Saccharomyces cerevisiae S288C: one gene and its partners. Changing the gene in region 3 together with the main gene of any one other region gives a genetic interaction. Each region holds a gene or a part of one and is shown on either strand. Other genes may lie near its edges. The genes, in order: SSM4, ETR1, UBC6 and MSH4.

The links.
Region 1: of UBC6 (region 3) and SSM4, a mutation in one rescues a mutant of the other (synthetic rescue), as found in Saccharomyces cerevisiae (one study listed by BioGRID).
Region 2: mutations in UBC6 (region 3) and ETR1 together harm fitness more than expected from each alone (negative genetic interaction), as found in Saccharomyces cerevisiae (2 studies listed by BioGRID).
Region 4: mutations in UBC6 (region 3) and MSH4 together harm fitness more than expected from each alone (negative genetic interaction), as found in Saccharomyces cerevisiae (2 studies listed by BioGRID).

What each region holds. Positions count from the first base shown.
Region 1 is NC_001141.2:295,550-303,020, reverse strand, and holds SSM4 (E3 ubiquitin-protein ligase SSM4), read left to right. Parts: upstream 1-3,011; coding exon 3,012-6,971; downstream 6,972-7,471. Other genes in the region: EMA17 (Ema17p), read left to right, coding at 1,764-2,192; SUMO protease ULP2, read right to left, coding at 7,284-7,471. UniProt on the Saccharomyces cerevisiae protein: E3 ubiquitin-protein ligase which accepts ubiquitin specifically from endoplasmic reticulum-associated UBC6 and UBC7 E2 ligases, and transfers it to substrates promoting their degradation.
Region 2 is NC_001134.8:291,677-296,152, reverse strand, and holds ETR1 (enoyl-[acyl-carrier-protein] reductase), read left to right. Parts: upstream 1-2,133; coding exon 2,134-3,276; downstream 3,277-4,476. Other genes in the region: putative protein kinase YPK3, read left to right, coding at 151-1,728; YBR027C (uncharacterized protein), read left to right, coding at 1,797-2,129; OLA1 (Obg-like ATPase), read left to right, coding at 4,288-4,476. UniProt on the Saccharomyces cerevisiae protein: Catalyzes the NADPH-dependent reduction of trans-2-enoyl thioesters in mitochondrial fatty acid synthesis (fatty acid synthesis type II).
Region 3 is NC_001137.3:357,157-361,644, forward strand, and holds UBC6 (E2 ubiquitin-conjugating protein UBC6), read left to right. Parts: upstream 1-2,405; coding exon 2,406-3,158; downstream 3,159-4,488. Other genes in the region: putative ubiquitin-specific protease UBP9, read left to right, coding at 1-574; ribose phosphate diphosphokinase subunit PRS2, read right to left, coding at 949-1,905; AST2 (Ast2p), read right to left, coding at 3,346-4,488. UniProt on the Saccharomyces cerevisiae protein: Catalyzes the covalent attachment of ubiquitin to other proteins. Functions in degradation of misfolded or regulated proteins localized in the endoplasmic reticulum (ER) lumen or membrane via the ubiquitin-proteasome system.
Region 4 is NC_001138.5:133,060-139,087, reverse strand, and holds MSH4 (MutS family protein MSH4), read left to right. Parts: upstream 1-1,930; coding exon 1,931-4,567; downstream 4,568-6,028. Other genes in the region: YFL002W-B (gag protein), read right to left, coding at 1-884; VTC2 (vacuolar transporter chaperone), read right to left, coding at 4,792-6,028. UniProt on the Saccharomyces cerevisiae protein: Involved in meiotic recombination. Facilitate crossovers between homologs during meiosis.

The DNA of each region.
Region 1 (7,471 bases), on a different chromosome or scaffold from region 3:
TTATCGCCTGCAGAAATAACAAAAGTGACACATATTGGTACAGGTACTAAACCGATGCTAACCGTACTAAAACAATTTACCACCCGGCTCGAGTTTTTTATTCTTCACAAACTTTTTCTGCATTTAATTGTGATGAATAACGAATAACTATTTCCTTGATCACCTCAGTAATCGCGAAACGTGCATTTGTGGTAGCAACAGTTTTAATGACAGTAGCATAGCCTATTGCACCTCCACATGAAGAAGCTACCAGTCCACCGCCAGAAATAGACAAAATGGTAACATCGCTTACATTAATTAGCCCTAATACAAAAGGTTGCCATTTGCTAATTTGTTTTGGTCGTCGAAAACCATTTGTGTCGTCGTTAACCTTTCCATTTATTATTCCAGCAATAAGAGCAAACCCCAATGAGACAGTACAAGCTGTAAGGGGAACATGCCCTATTACCAGCCCAAATGACCAATTGACTAACCAATCACCACACACACCCGCAGCTGTGTTGCGTGCGACGTTACCCAATGTTATGGTAATGGCTTGCTATATACTGACTCGTTCAGGTGAATAGAGAAAACCCGTATCACCGTAAACCCATCAGTGACCGTTTTAATTACCACAGCTGTTGCTAGCGAGTAAAAACCCTTTTCACCACTGGTATATAATATGTTCATCGTAAACAACCAATTGGCAACTATCCGGGAGGTCACGGCTGCGCTGCATACTTTTAAAACAGCTTGACGTGGATTAGACCAATTCACCATACGTTTGGAAAACATACTGGCCATTATCCAAGGTGTAAGTATAACGTCAAAGCTGCAATCAACTGTAGAATCTCTTCCTAACACATTTCTATATAACGCAACCAACATTATCATTGGAAATGGCATACAAACAACGCGTCTGAATAACCTTGCATCGTCCATGTTATTGCCTTTTCTACACCACGCAGCACCTCTTTAATGCAGCAGCCGTCACTATTTGCATTGACGCATGTCTTCATCCTTGAATGCCTGGCGATAGTATAGGTAAATTAGTTAAATACAGCTTTGAGTAATTAGGCATGTACTTCCTCTGATTTAGTGACAGGTTCAATTGTTAAAGTATTCCCATTAGGCCAAGTTAAAAAGCGAAATTTATTTTGTTTTACAGATTTCCATTGAGTTTTTATGCCTAAGGGCGTGTTTTTTCAGCTCGTAAAATCATGAAGTTGTAGCACGCTGGCTCACCATGACAATTCCAATGGTGCGGTTCAATCAATTCACTGAGGTAGAATGGTGGACCATGATATTCAGAAATAGGTAAGTCCTGAGGTAATGATTAGGATTTAACTGTTGACTCTATTATAAGGTATACAGAATATACTGGCATAAAACAAGGATCATTAACACGCTAAACAGGGTGTTGTTTAATATCATGAATGCGCAAATAAGCCCTTTTTGCTGCAGCAAACTTTATGTACCAAGATCTTAAAGGGACTCGTTACCAAGATGCGAGTGAGTAGTCTATTATTAGAGAGTAGATCAGCTTCCGCCGCTTCCTTTTTTAACGGGAAAAAAAGTAGAAGCTGGGACAACTTTTTCGCTGCCAATAATAATTAAAAAGAAGGACCCTTTTTTCATTATAGGTATATTTGTTAAATATTTCCATTCCTAAGACAATCAACAACGCAGTTATGCAAACCATCAAAGAGGGCAAATGAACTATTCCCGCTCTTCGTAAGGATGCTGTATTACCGCCGTTAGCCATCAGAATTACTATAAAAACAATGCGGTTAATTTTCATTGCGAAAATGCTTCAATATTCATTTCTACCATTTTCCCCGTTCAATCTTTTGAATTTTGATAATAGTATAAGCGTAAGCTGGTTTATAACATACTCAGTGATCGTTTCCATTTGGGGGTTTGCTGTGTGGATTGAAGGAGCATATAGGAATAAGATTAATCTACAGCTTCCAAGATGTACGAAGATAAAATGCTCCCGCTACAATACGAGAATAAAATCCCCCAAGTGGTTCAACTGTAAAAATTGGATGCATTTTTTCCTATTATACCTTTTTCTAACCGCTTCTAACTTAATTGTTCAATTGGCCTATTTTTCAAAAGAAATGTGTAGTCAGGGTATAAACGTTCCTGGAACGAAGAAACCAGGTAATAGAGTTTATTTATCGGTTATCATACTAATGGGGAACGGGTGATAGAACTTTTACCAATGAAAAGAAATCAGCAGGCCATAATTTGGCTTTATTAAAATTAATAACATTATGGTGCTGTTGCGTTTATTAAAACAGACTAAAGCTGTTGGAATGAAATTCTAATGTTATCTATTTAGTAGTAATAGCATCACATGCGGTGTAAGAGGATGGCGTAAATTATGAGAAGCTGTCATCGAGGTTAGAGGAAGCTGAAATACAAAAATTGATAATGTAATAGGAGAATGAAACATATAAAACGGAATGAGGAATAATCGTAATATTAGTATATAGAAATATAGATTCCATTATGAGGATTCCTAGATCCTCGAGGAGAACTTCTAGTATATTCCGTATACATAATATTATAAGCCTTTATCAACAATGGAACCCCCAACAATTATCTCAAAATTCACCCATATCTTAATTAGTAACATGAATAGTACTAAACAGATGATATTTTAAAGTTTCATTCCAACAAGCATCTTAAATGTGCTATTACTTCCTAAAATAAGTAGTTTTTCCAACGAAATAGCCTTGTTGGCGCAATCGGTAGCGCGTATGACTCTTAATCATAAGGTTAGGGGTTCGAGCCCCCTACAGGGCTATCTTTTTACCATTTTCAATTCAATAGAAAAATTAAATCATTAGAGACGGAAAACTGGTTGAAAACGCATCGATTGAGGACATTGAAAAGATGATTATGACCGATCTATGAAGCCATAAGATTACGTTAAGAATAGTTCTTTGTTACTGATTTCAAAAACTGTTTTTTTAGCCAAGAGTACCACTAATTGAATCAAAGAGACTAGAAGTGTGAAAGTCATGGATGTTGATTCTGACGTTAATGTCTCCAGGTTAAGAGATGAACTGCATAAGGTGGCAAACGAGGAAACAGATACCGCCACTTTCAATGATGATGCGCCATCCGGCGCCACCTGCCGTATTTGTCGTGGAGAAGCTACTGAGGACAATCCTCTTTTCCATCCTTGTAAATGCAGGGGCTCAATTAAATACATGCATGAATCCTGTCTGTTGGAATGGGTAGCTTCAAAAAATATAGACATTTCAAAACCAGGCGCGGATGTTAAATGTGACATCTGTCACTATCCCATTCAATTCAAAACGATATATGCGGAAAACATGCCCGAAAAGATACCTTTTTCTTTACTACTATCCAAGAGCATCTTGACATTTTTCGAAAAAGCTCGTTTGGCTTTAACGATTGGTTTGGCCGCTGTACTATATATTATCGGTGTTCCTTTGGTATGGAACATGTTTGGAAAATTATACACCATGATGCTAGATGGATCATCCCCTTATCCTGGTGATTTCCTAAAGAGTTTGATTTATGGTTATGATCAGTCAGCAACTCCAGAATTAACCACGAGAGCAATTTTTTACCAACTTTTACAAAACCATTCGTTTACGTCTTTACAATTTATTATGATAGTGATACTACATATAGCATTGTACTTTCAATACGATATGATAGTAAGAGAGGATGTTTTCAGTAAAATGGTTTTCCACAAGATAGGTCCAAGATTATCTCCCAAGGACTTGAAATCACGTTTGAAGGAAAGATTCCCCATGATGGATGATAGAATGGTTGAATATTTAGCGAGGGAAATGAGAGCTCATGACGAAAATCGTCAAGAGCAAGGTCATGATAGACTGAACATGCCAGCCGCAGCAGCAGATAATAATAATAATGTTATTAATCCCAGAAACGATAACGTTCCACCTCAGGATCCTAATGACCATCGGAATTTTGAAAACCTTCGCCACGTAGACGAATTAGATCATGATGAGGCTACGGAAGAGCACGAGAACAACGACTCTGACAATAGTTTACCATCAGGTGATGATTCGTCACGAATTTTACCGGGGTCTTCAAGTGACAACGAAGAAGATGAAGAAGCAGAGGGGCAACAGCAACAGCAGCAACCAGAAGAAGAGGCAGATTACCGTGATCATATAGAGCCCAATCCGATTGACATGTGGGCAAATCGTCGTGCGCAAAATGAATTTGATGACCTAATCGCTGCTCAACAGAACGCAATAAACAGGCCCAACGCTCCGGTTTTCATCCCACCACCTGCCCAAAACAGAGCTGGAAATGTCGATCAAGACGAACAAGACTTTGGCGCAGCTGTTGGTGTGCCACCAGCACAGGCTAACCCAGACGATCAAGGACAAGGCCCTCTAGTGATAAATCTCAAATTGAAATTGTTGAATGTCATTGCTTATTTCATAATTGCCGTAGTTTTCACCGCAATATACCTGGCAATTTCCTATTTGTTTCCAACTTTTATTGGGTTCGGTTTGTTGAAAATTTATTTTGGTATATTTAAGGTTATTTTGCGTGGGTTGTGCCATCTTTACTACTTGTCTGGCGCTCATATAGCTTACAATGGGCTGACGAAACTGGTCCCTAAAGTAGATGTCGCGATGAGTTGGATTTCAGACCACTTAATTCATGACATCATTTATCTTTACAACGGCTACACTGAAAACACCATGAAGCACTCAATTTTCATCAGAGCTTTACCTGCTTTAACGACGTATCTAACCTCAGTCAGTATCGTTTGTGCTTCATCCAATCTTGTCTCGAGGGGTTATGGCCGTGAGAACGGAATGAGCAACCCTACTAGAAGGCTGATTTTCCAGATTTTATTTGCACTCAAATGCACTTTCAAGGTGTTCACTTTATTTTTCATCGAATTGGCTGGATTCCCCATTCTAGCTGGTGTAATGCTAGATTTCTCATTATTTTGCCCAATCCTGGCATCCAATAGTCGGATGCTTTGGGTTCCTTCAATATGCGCAATATGGCCTCCATTTTCCCTTTTCGTATACTGGACGATTGGTACTCTCTACATGTATTGGTTTGCCAAATATATCGGAATGATTAGGAAAAATATCATTAGACCAGGTGTTCTATTCTTTATCAGATCTCCAGAAGATCCTAATATTAAGATCTTGCATGATAGTTTAATTCATCCGATGAGTATTCAATTATCAAGGCTTTGCTTATCCATGTTTATTTATGCGATTTTTATTGTCTTAGGTTTTGGCTTCCATACTAGAATTTTTTTCCCATTCATGCTCAAATCGAACTTATTATCCGTTCCTGAAGCTTATAAACCAACATCAATTATTTCATGGAAGTTCAATACAATTTTGCTAACTTTATATTTTACGAAGAGGATCCTGGAGTCTAGCTCTTACGTTAAACCCTTATTGGAAAGGTATTGGAAAACAATTTTTAAGTTATGTTCAAGAAAATTACGTTTATCATCCTTTATCTTAGGTAAAGATACCCCAACAGAGAGAGGCCATATTGTTTACCGCAATTTGTTTTACAAGTACATTGCTGCCAAGAATGCAGAATGGTCAAACCAAGAACTTTTCACTAAACCAAAGACTCTAGAACAAGCAGAAGAATTGTTTGGGCAAGTTCGTGACGTTCATGCTTATTTTGTCCCCGATGGCGTTTTAATGCGTGTTCCTTCTTCTGATATAGTATCCAGAAATTATGTACAAACAATGTTTGTCCCCGTTACAAAGGATGATAAGCTGTTGAAACCATTAGATTTGGAAAGAATTAAAGAGAGAAACAAACGTGCTGCTGGTGAATTTGGTTATTTAGACGAACAAAACACGGAATATGATCAATATTATATCGTTTACGTCCCTCCAGATTTCCGTTTACGCTATATGACATTGCTTGGCCTGGTTTGGTTATTTGCTTCCATTTTAATGCTTGGTGTTACATTTATTAGTCAAGCTTTAATAAACTTTGTTTGTAGTTTCGGCTTTCTTCCAGTCGTAAAGCTATTGTTAGGTGAAAGAAATAAGGTCTATGTTGCATGGAAGGAACTCTCTGACATTAGCTACTCCTATTTGAACATTTATTATGTCTGTGTCGGATCTGTTTGTTTATCCAAGATTGCTAAGGATATTCTTCATTTTACAGAAGGCCAAAACACTCTCGATGAACATGCCGTTGACGAAAACGAAGTAGAGGAAGTGGAACACGATATACCAGAGAGAGATATCAACAATGCCCCTGTTAATAATATCAATAATGTGGAAGAGGGTCAAGGAATTTTCATGGCCATCTTTAACAGTATATTTGATAGTATGTTGGTGAAGTATAACCTGATGGTGTTTATAGCTATCATGATTGCGGTTATTAGAACTATGGTTTCGTGGGTCGTCTTAACCGATGGTATACTAGCCTGTTACAATTATCTCACCATCAGAGTGTTTGGCAATTCTTCATACACTATTGGTAATTCCAAATGGTTTAAATATGACGAGAGTTTGTTATTCGTCGTTTGGATCATTTCGTCAATGGTCAATTTCGGAACCGGATATAAGTCATTGAAACTATTTTTCAGAAACAGAAATACTAGTAAATTGAACTTCTTGAAAACAATGGCTTTGGAACTGTTTAAACAAGGTTTCCTGCACATGGTAATTTACGTCTTGCCGATTATTATTTTATCCTTAGTATTTTTACGTGATGTTTCTACAAAGCAGATTATCGATATTAGCCATGGATCCAGGAGTTTCACTTTATCGCTTAACGAATCATTCCCAACATGGACAAGGATGCAAGATATTTATTTCGGACTACTGATAGCATTAGAGTCATTTACGTTCTTTTTCCAAGCAACTGTGCTGTTCATTCAATGGTTCAAAAGTACTGTACAGAATGTAAAAGACGAGGTTTACACTAAGGGTAGAGCTTTAGAAAATTTACCAGATGAAAGTTAAAGGCGTTTTCTTCCTTACATTTAAAATGAATGCTAGCATATTTACATATATATATCTACATTAAGTTATATGTTTTTCCACTGTTTTATTTCTTATTGTTAGAATTATAGAAAAAAAATTTTTGTAAAACATTTCATTAGAAAAATTTACCATTCTGAATACGAAAGAACAAAATAAAAAATATGCCTATTTATGTGAGTATGTATATTACTAGTTATTTTATTGCTGTTACTATTATTATGCGAGAATGTTAAAAAAATAAAAATAAAGAGGAAAAGAATAAAAAATATAAAACTATGCGTGCGAGTGCTTTCAAGGGTCTTCATCTTCCAAGAGTATAGGATTATCTCTGCCCTCATCCCAAACAGAATCTTGAGACTGGTTATTTTCATCTCCATAATTAGAGAGAAGTTGTGCATTTGATCCCTTGCTTGTCGCGCTGGTTCTTGGAATACCCCTAGTTGGACTACTAAATGCCACATCATCAATATCAACCAACT
Region 2 (4,476 bases), on a different chromosome or scaffold from region 3:
AGGAGAAAAAAAAAAAAAAAAAAAAAATTATAAACAAATGAAAAAAGGACGTACTGACTAATAGTAAGTAGATCTTTTACCTGGAAGGTGCCCTATGATAAGATTTTTCATCAACCAATCTAGCTGAGCATACTGTTGGCAGTAATTAGGATGATTTTCTCACTAGATGAAGAACTTCATCGTGTGTCACTAGATGATAAAAAGAATGACATTAAAGTAGATTATTCCTCGGCAATATACAATGATATCAATCATGAACAAGGCAGCTCCATCACATATGAGGAGAGTATAAATCACCTCTCGGTTCATTCAAATGCGATTCCGCTAAATGGCATGAGTCCTGCACATAGGATGAGAAGAAGGTCCTCAGCTTATTCCAAATTCCCTATTCTCACTCCACCAAATACGAGAAGATTTTCTATTACAGGTTCGGACGCAATGCGAACTAATACGAATAGACTATCCATAACACCTCAGGACATTATTTCCTCTAATATTGGAGAAAATGAATTATCAAGGAACCTGCACGATTTTAAGCCCGTGAGAGTCCTAGGCCAAGGTGCCTACGGTAAAGTTCTTCTTGTTAAGGACGTCAATACATCCAAGCTGTATGCTATGAAGCAATTACGGAAAGCAGAAATTTTAATTTCTCAAACAGCCACAGATTCCAAGAGAGAAGACGAAGATAAAAATGATGGTAATAACAACGATAATGACGATGGATTATCAAAGAGGCTTGAGAGAACATTTGCCGAACGGTCTATTCTATCTGAAATAGAACATCCAAACATTGTCAAGTTATTTTATTCTTTTCACGATAACTCAAAGTTATATTTACTGCTACAATATATCCCTGGCGGTGAACTATTTTACCACTTGAAGGAACACGGGACCCTAGATGAGACGACAGTTTCGTTTTACGCGGCAGAAATCAGCTGTGCCTTGAGATTTTTGCATACGAAAGGTGTTGTCTATAGAGATTTAAAACCTGAAAACTGTTTATTGAATCAACGTGGACATTTAGTATTGACAGATTTTGGTCTGAGTAAAAAAAGTGCTAATGATTCCGCGGTTGATGAGGAGGATCCAGAGAACGTCAATGCCCTATACTCGATTATCGGTACGCCTGAATACTGTGCGCCTGAAATATTATTAGGTAAAGCTTACAGTCAGAATTGTGATTGGTATTCTTTGGGATGTCTGTTGTATGACATGTTAGTAGGTAAGCCTCCATATACTGGTAGCAATCATAAGGTGATCATTAATAAGATTCAACAAAACAAGCAAGGCCCCAAAATTCCATTTTATCTGAGCGAGGGAATGAAAGATATATTAAACGCGCTGTTGAAGAAGGAAACTGCCAAAAGGTGGAATGTTGACAAATACTGGGCCAAAACCGGGGCTAATAATAAGCCTACTAAGTCTAAGAAGAAGAAATCAGGGGCTGCAAGAACTAGTCTTTTCACTGAACATTTTATCTTTAGAAAAATAGACTGGAAGTTATTAGAATCTGGACAATTGCAAAAAACCACTCTAGGCCCAATTGTTCCAGTTATTACGGATTTGGAACTAGCGGAAAATTTTGACACAGAATTTACTTCTATGTCATATGAGGAAACCTATACGGATAGCAAGCCGATTAATATCAATTCGGTGAGCAAGTCCCCGGATATGTTCAAGGGATTTAGTTATAAAGCAAGTGGTAGCTATTTGGAGAAGTACTTTTGAATTAAAAGTTAGATAGATTAAGAGAGAAGGCTCGGATCTGCACTGACTTACTTTTTTTTGTTTTTTTGATGTTTAAAGGATCTGTGTCACTGTATATACTTTGTTTTGCTTTAGGGTTACGAAACACATTTTTAATATATAATGTATGTAATAATATTAAAAACAACTGTATGGATAATACTTCTGGACCAATCGGTGATACCATCTTCCTTATTTATGGTATTATTATCATTATTGGACCCCGCCGGTGCTTTTTTTTTTACCTTAAAAGAGTGGTTCTCCTCCAAGGGACGCACGAGTGGTGTACCCAGGGGTTGTTTCCATGGCTAAAGAAATTGGAGATTACAAACGTACATTGTCATTTAAGAAGGTTCATAATCTGCCAATTACATTTGATATAACAAGATGCTTCCCACATTCAAACGTTACATGTCGTCCTCAGCTCATCAGATTCCCAAGCACTTCAAATCGCTCATCTATTCAACTCATGAAGTTGAGGATTGTACCAAGGTTTTGTCAGTGAAAAATTATACGCCTAAACAAGACTTATCTCAATCAATTGTGTTAAAAACTTTGGCCTTTCCCATAAACCCTTCGGATATCAATCAGTTGCAAGGAGTATACCCGTCTCGTCCAGAAAAGACATACGATTACTCCACAGATGAGCCAGCCGCTATCGCCGGTAATGAGGGTGTCTTTGAAGTTGTTTCTTTACCTTCGGGAAGTTCCAAGGGAGATTTGAAATTGGGTGACCGAGTTATCCCATTGCAGGCAAATCAAGGGACTTGGTCCAATTATAGAGTTTTCTCTAGTAGTTCTGATTTAATCAAGGTAAATGATTTGGATCTGTTTTCTGCGGCAACTGTATCTGTTAATGGTTGTACCGGTTTCCAATTAGTATCAGACTATATCGACTGGAACAGTAACGGTAATGAATGGATTATCCAAAATGCCGGTACATCTAGTGTATCAAAAATAGTTACGCAAGTAGCAAAAGCTAAAGGGATCAAAACATTAAGTGTTATACGTGACCGTGATAATTTTGATGAGGTAGCAAAAGTTTTGGAGGATAAGTATGGTGCTACGAAGGTTATTTCCGAATCGCAAAACAACGACAAGACTTTTGCCAAAGAAGTATTGTCCAAGATTTTGGGTGAAAATGCAAGGGTGAGGCTTGCCTTGAATTCTGTTGGAGGTAAATCCAGTGCATCAATAGCACGTAAGTTGGAAAATAATGCTTTGATGCTCACTTATGGAGGAATGTCAAAACAACCTGTAACTTTACCAACATCTCTACACATTTTCAAAGGCTTGACATCCAAAGGGTACTGGGTGACTGAAAAGAACAAAAAAAACCCCCAAAGCAAGATTGACACCATCAGTGATTTTATCAAAATGTATAATTATGGTCACATTATTTCACCAAGAGATGAAATTGAAACTCTTACCTGGAATACTAACACTACTACTGACGAACAGTTACTAGAACTAGTCAAAAAAGGTATAACTGGGAAGGGGAAGAAAAAAATGGTTGTTTTAGAATGGTAAGGGCCTTAGCATTGCTCAGAGTTAGACAACCACCAAAGATAGTATTCCTCTTTATGACATCGAGTATAGTTGCTATATAATATATACCAAGACATTAAAAAATATATGCCAGTGCTATCTTTGTAGGAGCTAATAAAAGGGGACGTCGACCCTTCAATGTATATATCGATCCTTTCACATTAGTCAGGACGAGATAATGAGCATGATGTATAAACAAACGGTAGTTAATACCAACGATAAGTTATACAACTACTGTACAATAAAAAAACATCACAATAGCAATACAGGAGTCCTATTCGCTACTTCAACTTGACAAGATCTACTAGATATAGAAATATCTAGCTTAATCAACAATTTTCCTCACTGATTGCTTCCTCCGAATGCCATTATTGGCTTTCTTGGTTCTTAAGCATGATATTACGTATAAATAGCCATTATATCAATTAGAACAAAAGATTACGTAAATGCAATTTTTCCTGAGAATGGCGTTCGAAGAAGGGCGCGTAACTCGTAGAAACCTAAGAATTCTCGTAGAGCGAAGTCTTCGGTAGGAAACGTAGTAGATTTGCAGAAGATACGCCTGTTAAACTGAAGAAAACAAATCTGAGTAGTTTCCCTTCTTTGGAGTTGAGCTTTACAACAAGTTCATATTGTTGGTGCCAATTTGCCTTGAGACAACTAAGGCAGAATGCAGTTGTTGCGTGTTACTTAATTCTCCGTATTGAATGACCACGCACAATTCCTAATTTTTTTTTTTTCTCGAAAATTCTTTTTTTTTTCACTGAAAAAATTTTTTCAAGGGCCATCCCAGCGATTTTATGACCCAAAAGGAAGGATGCAGTGAAAGTCAACTTACGTCTTCTCTCTCATACCTTTCGTTGCGAGAAATCGTATTTAGTAGTGTATTCAGTTGATAATTAGTACTAATTTTTTATTGCATTTTGCCTTTTTTAGCTTTTTGTGTTACTTCTAGTATCCGTAAAAACAATCAAATAAATAGCACTGTAAAACATGCCTCCAAAGAAGCAAGTCGAAGAAAAAAAGGTCTTATTGGGTCGTCCAGGTAATAACTTGAAAGCCGGTATTGTCGGTTTGGCCAATGTTGGTAAGTCTACCTTTTTCCAAGCCATCACTAGATGTCCATTGGGTAACCCAGCTAACTATCCATTCGCTACCATTGATCCAGAAGAAGCCCGTGTT
Region 3 (4,488 bases):
ATTCAAGTATTCAGAGGAGCAAAAGTCAAACATCAAACTTTTTAACAAAATACTCTATCCACTAACTTTGGATGTTTCTTCCACTTTTAATACATCAGTATATAAAAAATATGAACTAAGCGGCGTCGTCATCCATATGGGGAGCGGTCCACAGCATGGTCATTACGTATGCATTTGCAGGAACGAAAAGTTTGGGTGGCTTTTGTATGATGACGAAACGGTGGAATCCATAAAAGAAGAAACTGTGTTACAATTCACAGGTCATCCAGGTGATCAAACTACAGCCTACGTTTTATTCTATAAAGAAACACAGGCTGATAAGACCGAAAATCAAAATGAAAATATAGACACTTCTAGTCAAGATCAAATGCAGACTGACAATAACATTGAACAGTTAATAAAATGCGATGATTGGTTAAGGGATCGTAAATTGAGGGCAGCTGCAAATATTGAACGCAAAAAGACCTTGGGGAATATACCTGAAGTTAAGACTGCAGAAACCAAGACGCCATTAAATGATAAAAAACGCAATAAGCAAAAAAGAAAATCGAGAATATTGAGCTTCATCAAATAAATCGGGATTGTTTCGATACATCATATAGTTGAGACCCATCTGTTCTAAAAGTATCAATATTAGTGTACCATTTTTTCTTCCTTTTTTAAATAATTTCCACGTTTCTTTCTATTGTTCCTGATCTTTCGAATTTAGTTGTATTTCACTTCACCTACTGTAATAACTTTTTTTTTTTAGAGCACAATAAAATTTCACATATTTTCCAAAAGCAAGGGCGGTAAATCAGAAAAGATTAAGCTTTAATGAAAATCTCATAGAGACCAGATGAAGAATATTGGTGGCAGCATAAGCGCTAATACTGAATAGATATACGCATTTTTTTTCAAAATATCTGTTAGTACATTTATACAAATATATTCGTTTATACCTCTTCTTTAAACAGGCGCATGTGTAAATAAATATGAGACTGATTCTCCATTATGCAATCTTCTGATAGCTTCTGCAATCGTAGGGCTGATATCCACCTGATCGACAATGTCCAAATCCAAATCAACAGGTACCGTGTTGGTGCAAACAATTCTTGATAACCTACTATTTATTAACTTCTCCCTAGCTGAGCCAGAAAATATACCATGTGTGACAATAGCGATAACCTCCTTAGCACCGTGATCCATTAATGTGTCACAGGCTTTCACCAGCGTACCACACGTGTCAGCCATATCGTCAATCAACAAGCATGACTTACCAGCAACATCACCGACAAGCAGCATTCGCGAAACTTCATTAGCTTTTTGCCTCTCCTTATGAATCAAGGCAAAATTCATATCCAGCTTGTCCGCTAAAGAAGCCACCCTTTTCGCACCACCAGCATCAGGCGATACCAGTATCGCATTATTGAAATCTGTTTTGGTCCTTATGTAATTCAACACACTTGGTTCACCGTATAAATTATCAACCGGGATATGAAAAAACCCTTGAATTTGTGAAGCATGGAGATCCATAGTAATAACATGATCACAACCCGCAGTTTCCAAAAGATTGGCAATCAGCTTCGCAGTGATGGGCGCCCGCGATTTATCCTTCTTATCTTGTCTAGCATAAGGGAAATTTGGTATTACTGCCGTAATTCTTCTGACTGATGCCGTCTTACAAGCGTGAATTAAGATAAGTAATTCCATTAAGAAATCGTTGATTTCATGTTCCCCGTAACCAGTTTGGATGATATATACGTCTTCATCACGAATGCTTTCCCCTATTGTAACAGACGTCTCTTTATTTGAATACTGATATACCCCCACTTTAGATAACGGTACACCAAGCCTTTGGGAAATAAGCTCAGCAAGCCCAGGATGTGAGTTACCAGCTAACAACTTAATACTGTTTGTAGACATATTCAACGAAACTTACGACAAGATAGTCTTTGGATGATGAGGAATATCCTCTTCTTAGCAATCCCTCGATGCCTCCTCATATCATCTATTGTTCAAAATTTTTTCATTGTTGAAAAATAGTCACGTGCTTAACCATTTTGCTGCGCGATTTGGTAGGAGGATAAATACACGGGCATACCGTATCTGTTCAATAGCAACAATGTCGGAGAGAGCTAAACTAGCCAACTCGCCATCCTATTCCACTGGTCGCTTGAGTCGATATCCTTCCACAGCAATATTGCACTTTACAATTAGGATAGCCTCCCCAATAAAATAAGGAAATTTTGGTTATTTGTGTTCAGAAAAAGCCGAAATCGATTGCAGAGAACAGAAAGGAACTTTCCGATTATCACACTTTAGGAGCCGTGATAAAGAAGACTACCATCGCATATCGCAGAAAAGACTTTAAATATTAACTAAAACCGCATTCGCAAATTGCAAACAAAGTACGTACAATAGTAATGGCTACAAAGCAGGCTCACAAGAGATTGACGAAAGAGTACAAGTTGATGGTGGAAAACCCTCCACCATATATTCTTGCTCGCCCCAACGAAGATAATATTTTAGAGTGGCACTATATTATCACAGGACCTGCGGATACTCCTTACAAGGGCGGTCAATATCACGGTACTTTAACTTTCCCGTCTGATTATCCATACAAACCACCGGCTATCAGAATGATAACACCGAATGGACGTTTCAAGCCCAACACACGATTATGCCTTTCTATGAGTGATTACCACCCTGATACTTGGAATCCTGGCTGGTCTGTCTCAACCATTTTGAACGGGTTACTAAGTTTCATGACCAGTGATGAAGCCACGACAGGATCAATTACAACATCAGACCATCAGAAGAAGACATTAGCAAGAAATTCCATAAGTTATAACACTTTTCAAAATGTTAGATTCAAATTGATTTTTCCGGAAGTTGTACAGGAAAATGTAGAGACATTAGAAAAGAGAAAATTGGATGAGGGGGATGCGGCAAATACAGGTGATGAAACAGAAGACCCTTTTACAAAGGCTGCGAAGGAAAAAGTCATCTCGTTGGAGGAAATTCTAGACCCTGAAGACAGAATACGCGCTGAACAAGCGTTGAGACAATCAGAAAATAATTCCAAGAAAGATGGCAAAGAACCTAATGATAGTTCTTCAATGGTTTATATTGGTATCGCTATTTTTTTGTTTTTGGTTGGCCTTTTTATGAAATGAAGCCATTAAATGAACTAAACTTTAGATAAATTTTGACAACACAGAATAGAAATCAATAGTATTATATAGACAAAACGGATCTTTTTATTATGAACATTGTGAATTATTAATTATATTTTTGAGTATGTATTGACCAAGAAACCTCAATAAAAATGAGGTGAAACCTAGGGAGACAGAAACTCCCATTTCAAAAACCTTCAACTTTCATTATAAGCTTACCTTGAGCACGTTGTGTAGCCATATAGGAAAATGCTTCCTTGAAATTTTTCCAGGAATAAACCTTATCAACAACGCAATCTACGACTCCCTCATTTAGCAGCTTGCCGCATTCATGTATCCAATCATTCTTCTTGGGGATAATCTTGATATTGGGGTCAAAGTAAAAATGAGAATAATCGTATGACCATAACATTGATCCAAACATTTTTCTTGCATTGGCGCTAGGGTTATCCCAAGAATCAAAGACGTCTTTCTTATAATTTCCAACATAATCACCAACTGTTGTAATATAAGCACCTTTAGCGTGAATTAAAGAACTCGAGTGACTCAAGATATCATAACCACCGATGAAGTCCAACACGACATTAAATTTACCCTGAGTATAATCTTCGGTTTCTTTGAGAGTATTAAAATCATCATAATCTACAACTTTACCGGTATCCAACATACGTCTGAGTGGTTTACTAGATTTTCCCCTACATGACAGATAATTTATGAAAATGATTTCATCTTTCAAATCCGGGAAATGTTCTGACAGGACTGCTGCACCATTACCTGACGTTACCACTACTAGCTTTTTAGAAACTTTATAGTAACGCTTCAATAACTGGATAGCAAACATCCCTACAGAGCTTGTACCACCGTTTATTAAAACATTAGATTCTGTATTCAATTGATCCTTCTCCTTTAGTTGAGCTAACAGATTAAGTGCTGTTCCTAAACAGAATAAGGAGCCTGCTGCCTTTTCTGGTGATAGAGTATTTTTGGGTCGCATTAAAATAGGATCGACACGCGGATCAATGAGCAACGAACTTTGCAGGGCGCCAATGGCTAACTTGGGATGATAGTAAATGCCGTACACATCGTCACCCACGTTCCATCTATTTGTCAAATTATCACCGACATGTGTTATCACTCCGCTGTATTCTCTTCCAATGCCGGCTTCACCATAAATAGGCTTGGTGTAACCATTCCTAATCTTCATATCAACAGGGTTCAAACCTACATAGTTCACTTGAACTACCAGTTTGTTTTTACTTATGGGCAACTTAATTTTGTTCTCATATGAAAAAGTAATGGGACCGTGTTTAGAATGAAAAACTAATGACTT
Region 4 (6,028 bases), on a different chromosome or scaffold from region 3:
TCTTTTAGCCTCTGAATGATCGTACTGACTGTAATTTCAAATGTATCAGCAGATGTACTTCCGTCGTACTCAAGGTTGGCAAGAGCTATCCAATCCTTTAATTCTTGATTGTTAGTTTGCATTTTGGACACACTTTTACAAAGGACTGTAAGGATGTCAGCATAATTAATTTCTAAAATTTGTTTTACCCATGTTGGCAATAAATGAAATGGGGCAAATGCTTGGAAGGTATTGTATATATACGCATGTTCTTCATAAGTCATTTGACTTTTGATTTCACCCTGGTCATTTGGAATGATGTCACCGAGATTAGAGTTCTTCAAAAATCTGATGTAAAATTTAACCCATGTAGAAAAGTTTTCTTCTGATGTTAAAGTGTGTGGTGGTAAGACGTTATTTCTCACCTTTGTCTCAGCTTGAGGTACTTCAGAGTGTTGATTCTGTGAATCGATTGGATCAGGTGAGGAAGTACTCAGTGGTGGGATATACTGTGGCAACGGATAGTGTGGGTCCGGTTGATAATACGCAGGTGACGTTTGATAATGTGAACACGTCATCATAGACGGTTGTTGGTAATGTGCCCAGTTAGAGGCCATAGCTTTGTTTGGGGTCATCATGCCGTGCTGTTGGTACTGTCCATTCTGTGGAGGTGGTACTGAAGCAGGTTGAGGAGAGACATGATGATGGTTCTCTGGAACAGCTGATGTCCCAGGTGTTGTCTCTTGTTGAGAATTAACCTTAGTGGAATCTCTATCAAATTCCGGTAAATTGGAAGCTGAAACGGCTAACGGATCTTGATTTGATGGGACTTCCTTAGAAGTAACCGAAGCATAGGCGCTACCATGTAGAGAATGTGGATTTTGATGTAATTGTTGGGATTCCATTTTTGATAAGGCAATAATATTAGGTATGTAGATATACTAGAAGTTCTCCTCGAGGATTTAGGAATCCATAAAAGGGAATCTGCAATTCTACACAATTCTATAAATATTATTATCATCATTTTATATGTTAATATTCATTGATCCTATTACATTATCAATCCTTGCGTTTCAGCTTCCACTAATTTAGATGACTATTTCTCATCATTTGCGTCATCTTCTAACACCGTATATGATAATATACTAGTAACGTAAATACTAGTTAGTAGATGATAGTTGATTTTTATTCCAACATATACAGAATATGCTAGAAGTTCTCCTCGAGGATTTAGGAATTCTCAAAATGGAATCCATATTTCTACATACTAATGTTAGACTATTCCGTTTTATATGTTTCATTATCCTATTACATTATCAATCCTTGCATTTCAGCTTCTTCTAACTTCGATGACAGCTTCTCATAACTTATGTCATCATCTAACACTGTATATGATAATATATTGAATAACTATTAGTTGATAGATGATAGTGGATTTTTATTCCAGAGGTTTGCGATGCCTTTGAGAAATCAGGATTGTTTTGGTATGGGATGACATTGTTTTACGTAGTCTATTCCGTTTTAAGAGTTGCAGAACTCAAAAGTGACTGACTCCATGGCCAAGTTGGTTAAGGCGTGCGACTGTTAATCGCAAGATCGTGAGTTCAACCCTCACTGGGGTCGTTTTTTTATTCAAAATCAGTTTCTAAGATTTAGATTTTATTGTATCATATCTTTTTCCATACTGAAATCGATTAAAGTTTTTATGTGTTGCATCTGTATGAGAGCAAAATCTTATTTAGTCTCCTCTTTTCTGCTATGAACCAGTTTATTATTTTTTTTTAATTCGCGTCTTCATTTCCTTTTCAAATCCCGAACGTACAGCTTTCATACATATAAGGCATCAACGAAGAATAGCAAAAGAGCAGTTGGATTTTACTTAAAGTGAAACATATAAAAATAACTAGTTATAGCATTGAAATCTGTAGCTGATCAACGCAAACTATATGCAATGAGTGAATCTAATCTATCTAGTTTTATCAGTACAAATTATTTCAATTTAAGGTCGGCGGCTAATTCTTCAAACTCTATTTCGAAGCCAAGTACGAAAAAGAGTATCAGGAACCAAAAATCGCCAACTAACATAAGTAGTTGGGCTCTCAAAAAGAAAACGCTACAAATAGCAGAGACAACATGGGAAAACAATGAAAAAGATTCAACACATAGCCATTACTTAATGACTGGATCAATGGCCTCTAGGACCGCAACCTCCTTAAGTCGATACAGCACCAACGCTTCACTCCTCGGTCCTAGTATTGACTGTGTTCTTTGTTGCATATACGAAGTGCCAAGAGACATAAGTACGCGGATTGGGTTATGTATTATCAACTGTAACACGGGACAGATGTATCTTTCAGATTTCATGGATTCACAAATTTACATTCGTGTAGTTCATAAACTCCAAATTTACCAACCTACGGAAATACTGATTCCAAGCAGTTCTCTAGCTCCAACAGTATCAAAATTAGCGACAATGATAAAATTTAATGTGGCCGAGACAGTTAAAATTGAAGAGGGTTCACGAAAGTGCTTCAATAGCCAAGATGGACTGGCGGCGATTACAAAGTATTTAATGGATGATACAAAAAAGGACTTGAAAATCGAGGAGATTATAGATAAAACGTTTGCTCTTTGTGCTGCATCTGCTGCGATAAGCTACATGGAAGAGATTATATCCAAAAGCAGCCGAAATTTGAATGCGTTTCGAAAACTACGTATACAGTTTGAAGGAACAGAAAATACAATGCTGATTGATTCTAAAACCGTCAGAGGTTTAGAACTTGTAGAAAATAAATTGGATAAGAATGGCATATCACTATGGAAGTTCTTGGATACCACGTCCACTAAAATGGGACAAAGATCACTTCGGAACAGTATACTGCAGCCATTAACTGATAGGGGCAGTATCGAAATGAGACTAGAGGCCCTAGAAGAATTGAAAGCCAATGATGACCTTCTACAAAAATTAAGGCTAGAAATGAAATCATTGCCTGATCTAGATAAGTTATTTTCAAGGTTATTATGCATTAATCATTCTGCAATAAAACCTGACCAAAGAATTAATTACGTTTTGTTGCTAAAGGAAACTTTACAAAGCGTGAAGTCATTGAAAGACGCACTTAATGATCAGTTAATTCAAAGCCGTTTAATTAGCGAGACCAAAAAAATATTCAATAATGACGCAATTATGGAAATTGAAAAATTAATTAATAGTTGTATAAATGAAGACTGTGTCTGGGCATCCTCAGCTATACAACTACTTAACCAACGTTCATATGCTGTGAAAAGTGATTCCAATGGGCTTTTGGATGTTTCTAGACAAATCTACAAAGAGGTAAAAGAGGAATTTTTTCGTGAGGTAGAAGATCTTACCGCTAAAAACAAAATCAATTTAGATCATAATTACGATTCTGCACGAGGCTTTTATCTCAGAATAAAAAGACAGGAATTTACCGATGACGTCGCTACACTTCCAGACGTATTCATTTCAAGAACAATAAAAAAAAATTATATTGAATGTACAACCCTAAATATAATAAAAAAAAATGCGAGGTTGAAGGAAGTTATGGAAGAGATTTTACTTTTAAGTGAAGAGACAGTTGATGAACTGCTCGATAAAATTGCAACCCATATTTCTGAACTATTTATGATTGCAGAAGCAGTGGCTATCCTGGATTTGGTTTGTTCATTCACATATAATTTGAAAGAAAATAATTACACAATACCGATTTTTACAAACAATCTACTAATTCGAGATTCAAGACACCCACTACTTGAAAAGGTACTAAAAAATTTTGTCCCTAACACCATATCAAGTACAAAACATAGCTCCAGCTTACAAATCATAACCGGATGCAACATGAGTGGAAAATCTGTTTATTTAAAACAAGTTGCCCTTATTTGCATAATGGCCCAAATGGGATCAGGTATACCGGCACTTTATGGGTCTTTTCCTGTCTTTAAACGTCTACATGCAAGAGTCTGCAATGACAGTATGGAATTAACCTCATCAAATTTTGGTTTTGAAATGAAAGAAATGGCTTACTTTTTAGATGACATAAATACAGAAACACTGTTAATTTTAGATGAACTTGGTCGTGGTTCAAGCATCGCTGATGGGTTTTGTGTGTCTTTGGCAGTAACTGAACATTTACTTCGAACGGAGGCAACGGTATTTCTTTCTACACACTTCCAGGACATTCCTAAAATAATGTCTAAGAAGCCAGCAGTTTCCCATCTTCATATGGATGCAGTCCTTCTCAATGACAATTCTGTCAAAATGAATTATCAGTTGACCCAGAAATCTGTCGCAATAGAGAATAGTGGAATAAGGGTGGTAAAAAAAATATTCAACCCGGATATTATTGCAGAAGCGTACAATATCCATTCGCTTTTGAAAATTGCAAAAGCAAGGACTGAAAACGAAGATTCAAATGGCGTTGTTGATCAAAAGACCATAAACCAAATGAAGAGAATACACAATCTTGTAGCGATATTGAAAGAATGTGCAGGAAATGAAAAAGAGCCCTTGACTTTAGGGAAATTAAAAGAAATAAACTCCGACTTCATCGAAAATTTTGAAGAATAATTTGGCTTTTCCGCTTAGCTTAAAACTATAATCCATTATTTCTGTACAGAGTTATCAAAAACCGGAGAAAATGATGTTTATGTAAATGCATTGATATTTATGAATGATTTAAAACTTCCCCTTAAATGTGATTTCTAAAAGTAAGCAATTGTTAGCAGATGATAATTTTTTGCTACACATTACAAACATAAAAACACATGGTCTCAGTAGATAGAGTACATATTCTAATCACTGCTTGGCCCCATTAACTTGAATAGATAATTTTGAAGTGGCCTTAATACTTCTGGTATTCTTTCAGGAACTTCTAAATTCTGTATTTGCAACTCTTGACGAGACTTTGCTGCATTTCTAAACGCCATAACAAAATTAACCACTAAAGTGACAAATAAAACTATAGAAACCAAAACTGGACCAAGTGGTGCATCTAGATGTTGACCGCTTCTTTGTTGAATAATATCAACTCTTTTCATATAAATGGAATAGGACCATAAAGCACAGAATATCGTTAGACCAAAATATACGTATGCCATGTAGTTAGCCAAAGTGGGGTATTCGGCTTTCTTCACAGAATTATAAATTGAGAACGTCAAAACACTCAATAAACTGGTGACACTTAACCATCTGTTAAATGTACGTTCGTTGGCAAGCCAAACCTTTGCCTCCACGTTTACAGGACCAGCATTTTTTAACAAATTTAATGGTTTTTTCACACCAGGTGGCAATTCAATTTCTTCTTCTTCAGAATCCACCCCCATTAACTTTGGATCTCTACCGGCCAAAATTCTCAAGAAAGTGGCCTTGGGTTTTCTTCTCCGAACTTTCTTTGATCTTTTCGAATGAGGTTCTTGCTCAGTTTCCTCATCGGATGAACCGTCTGCCTCCAAATCACCTTGAGAGGTAATACGCTCATTTTCCTCTTGAGATACCGGTACTGCTGCTTGATGTTGAGGCTCTTTTAAGTTGGAAAGCCTTCTCATTCCATCAATTTTCTTTTGTATCTCTTTTTGTTTCAACAGTTTTTTCTTTTCCTCCTCATATGCTTGCTTAGGATCCTGTCTAATATCTGTTTCCAAATCTGGTAACCAAAATGGTAAGATATCTAATTTTTCATCATCTCCATACAATGATGCCACACCTTGCACAAAGATAGAAAACTTTGGAATTTCTTTGACCAAATGAGAATTTGTCAAATCGTTCAGCCATTGACCATGCTTTTTAGGCAGTTTTACATTAGAAATCATAGAACTGGCAGACATCGAAGAATCTAATGAACTTTTCACTTTAATTTCCATTACTGAATAAGGAAACTTAGCATACTCGCCTCCTCTCAGGAATTTCAAGGGATTTGCAACATTGGCATCAATATCAGTTCTATGCCAGGTATTAGGGTCTCTAATTGGACGCTCTCTGTCGAATGAATCCTCCTTGATGAATACAATATTAGAGTCAATGGTTACTCTT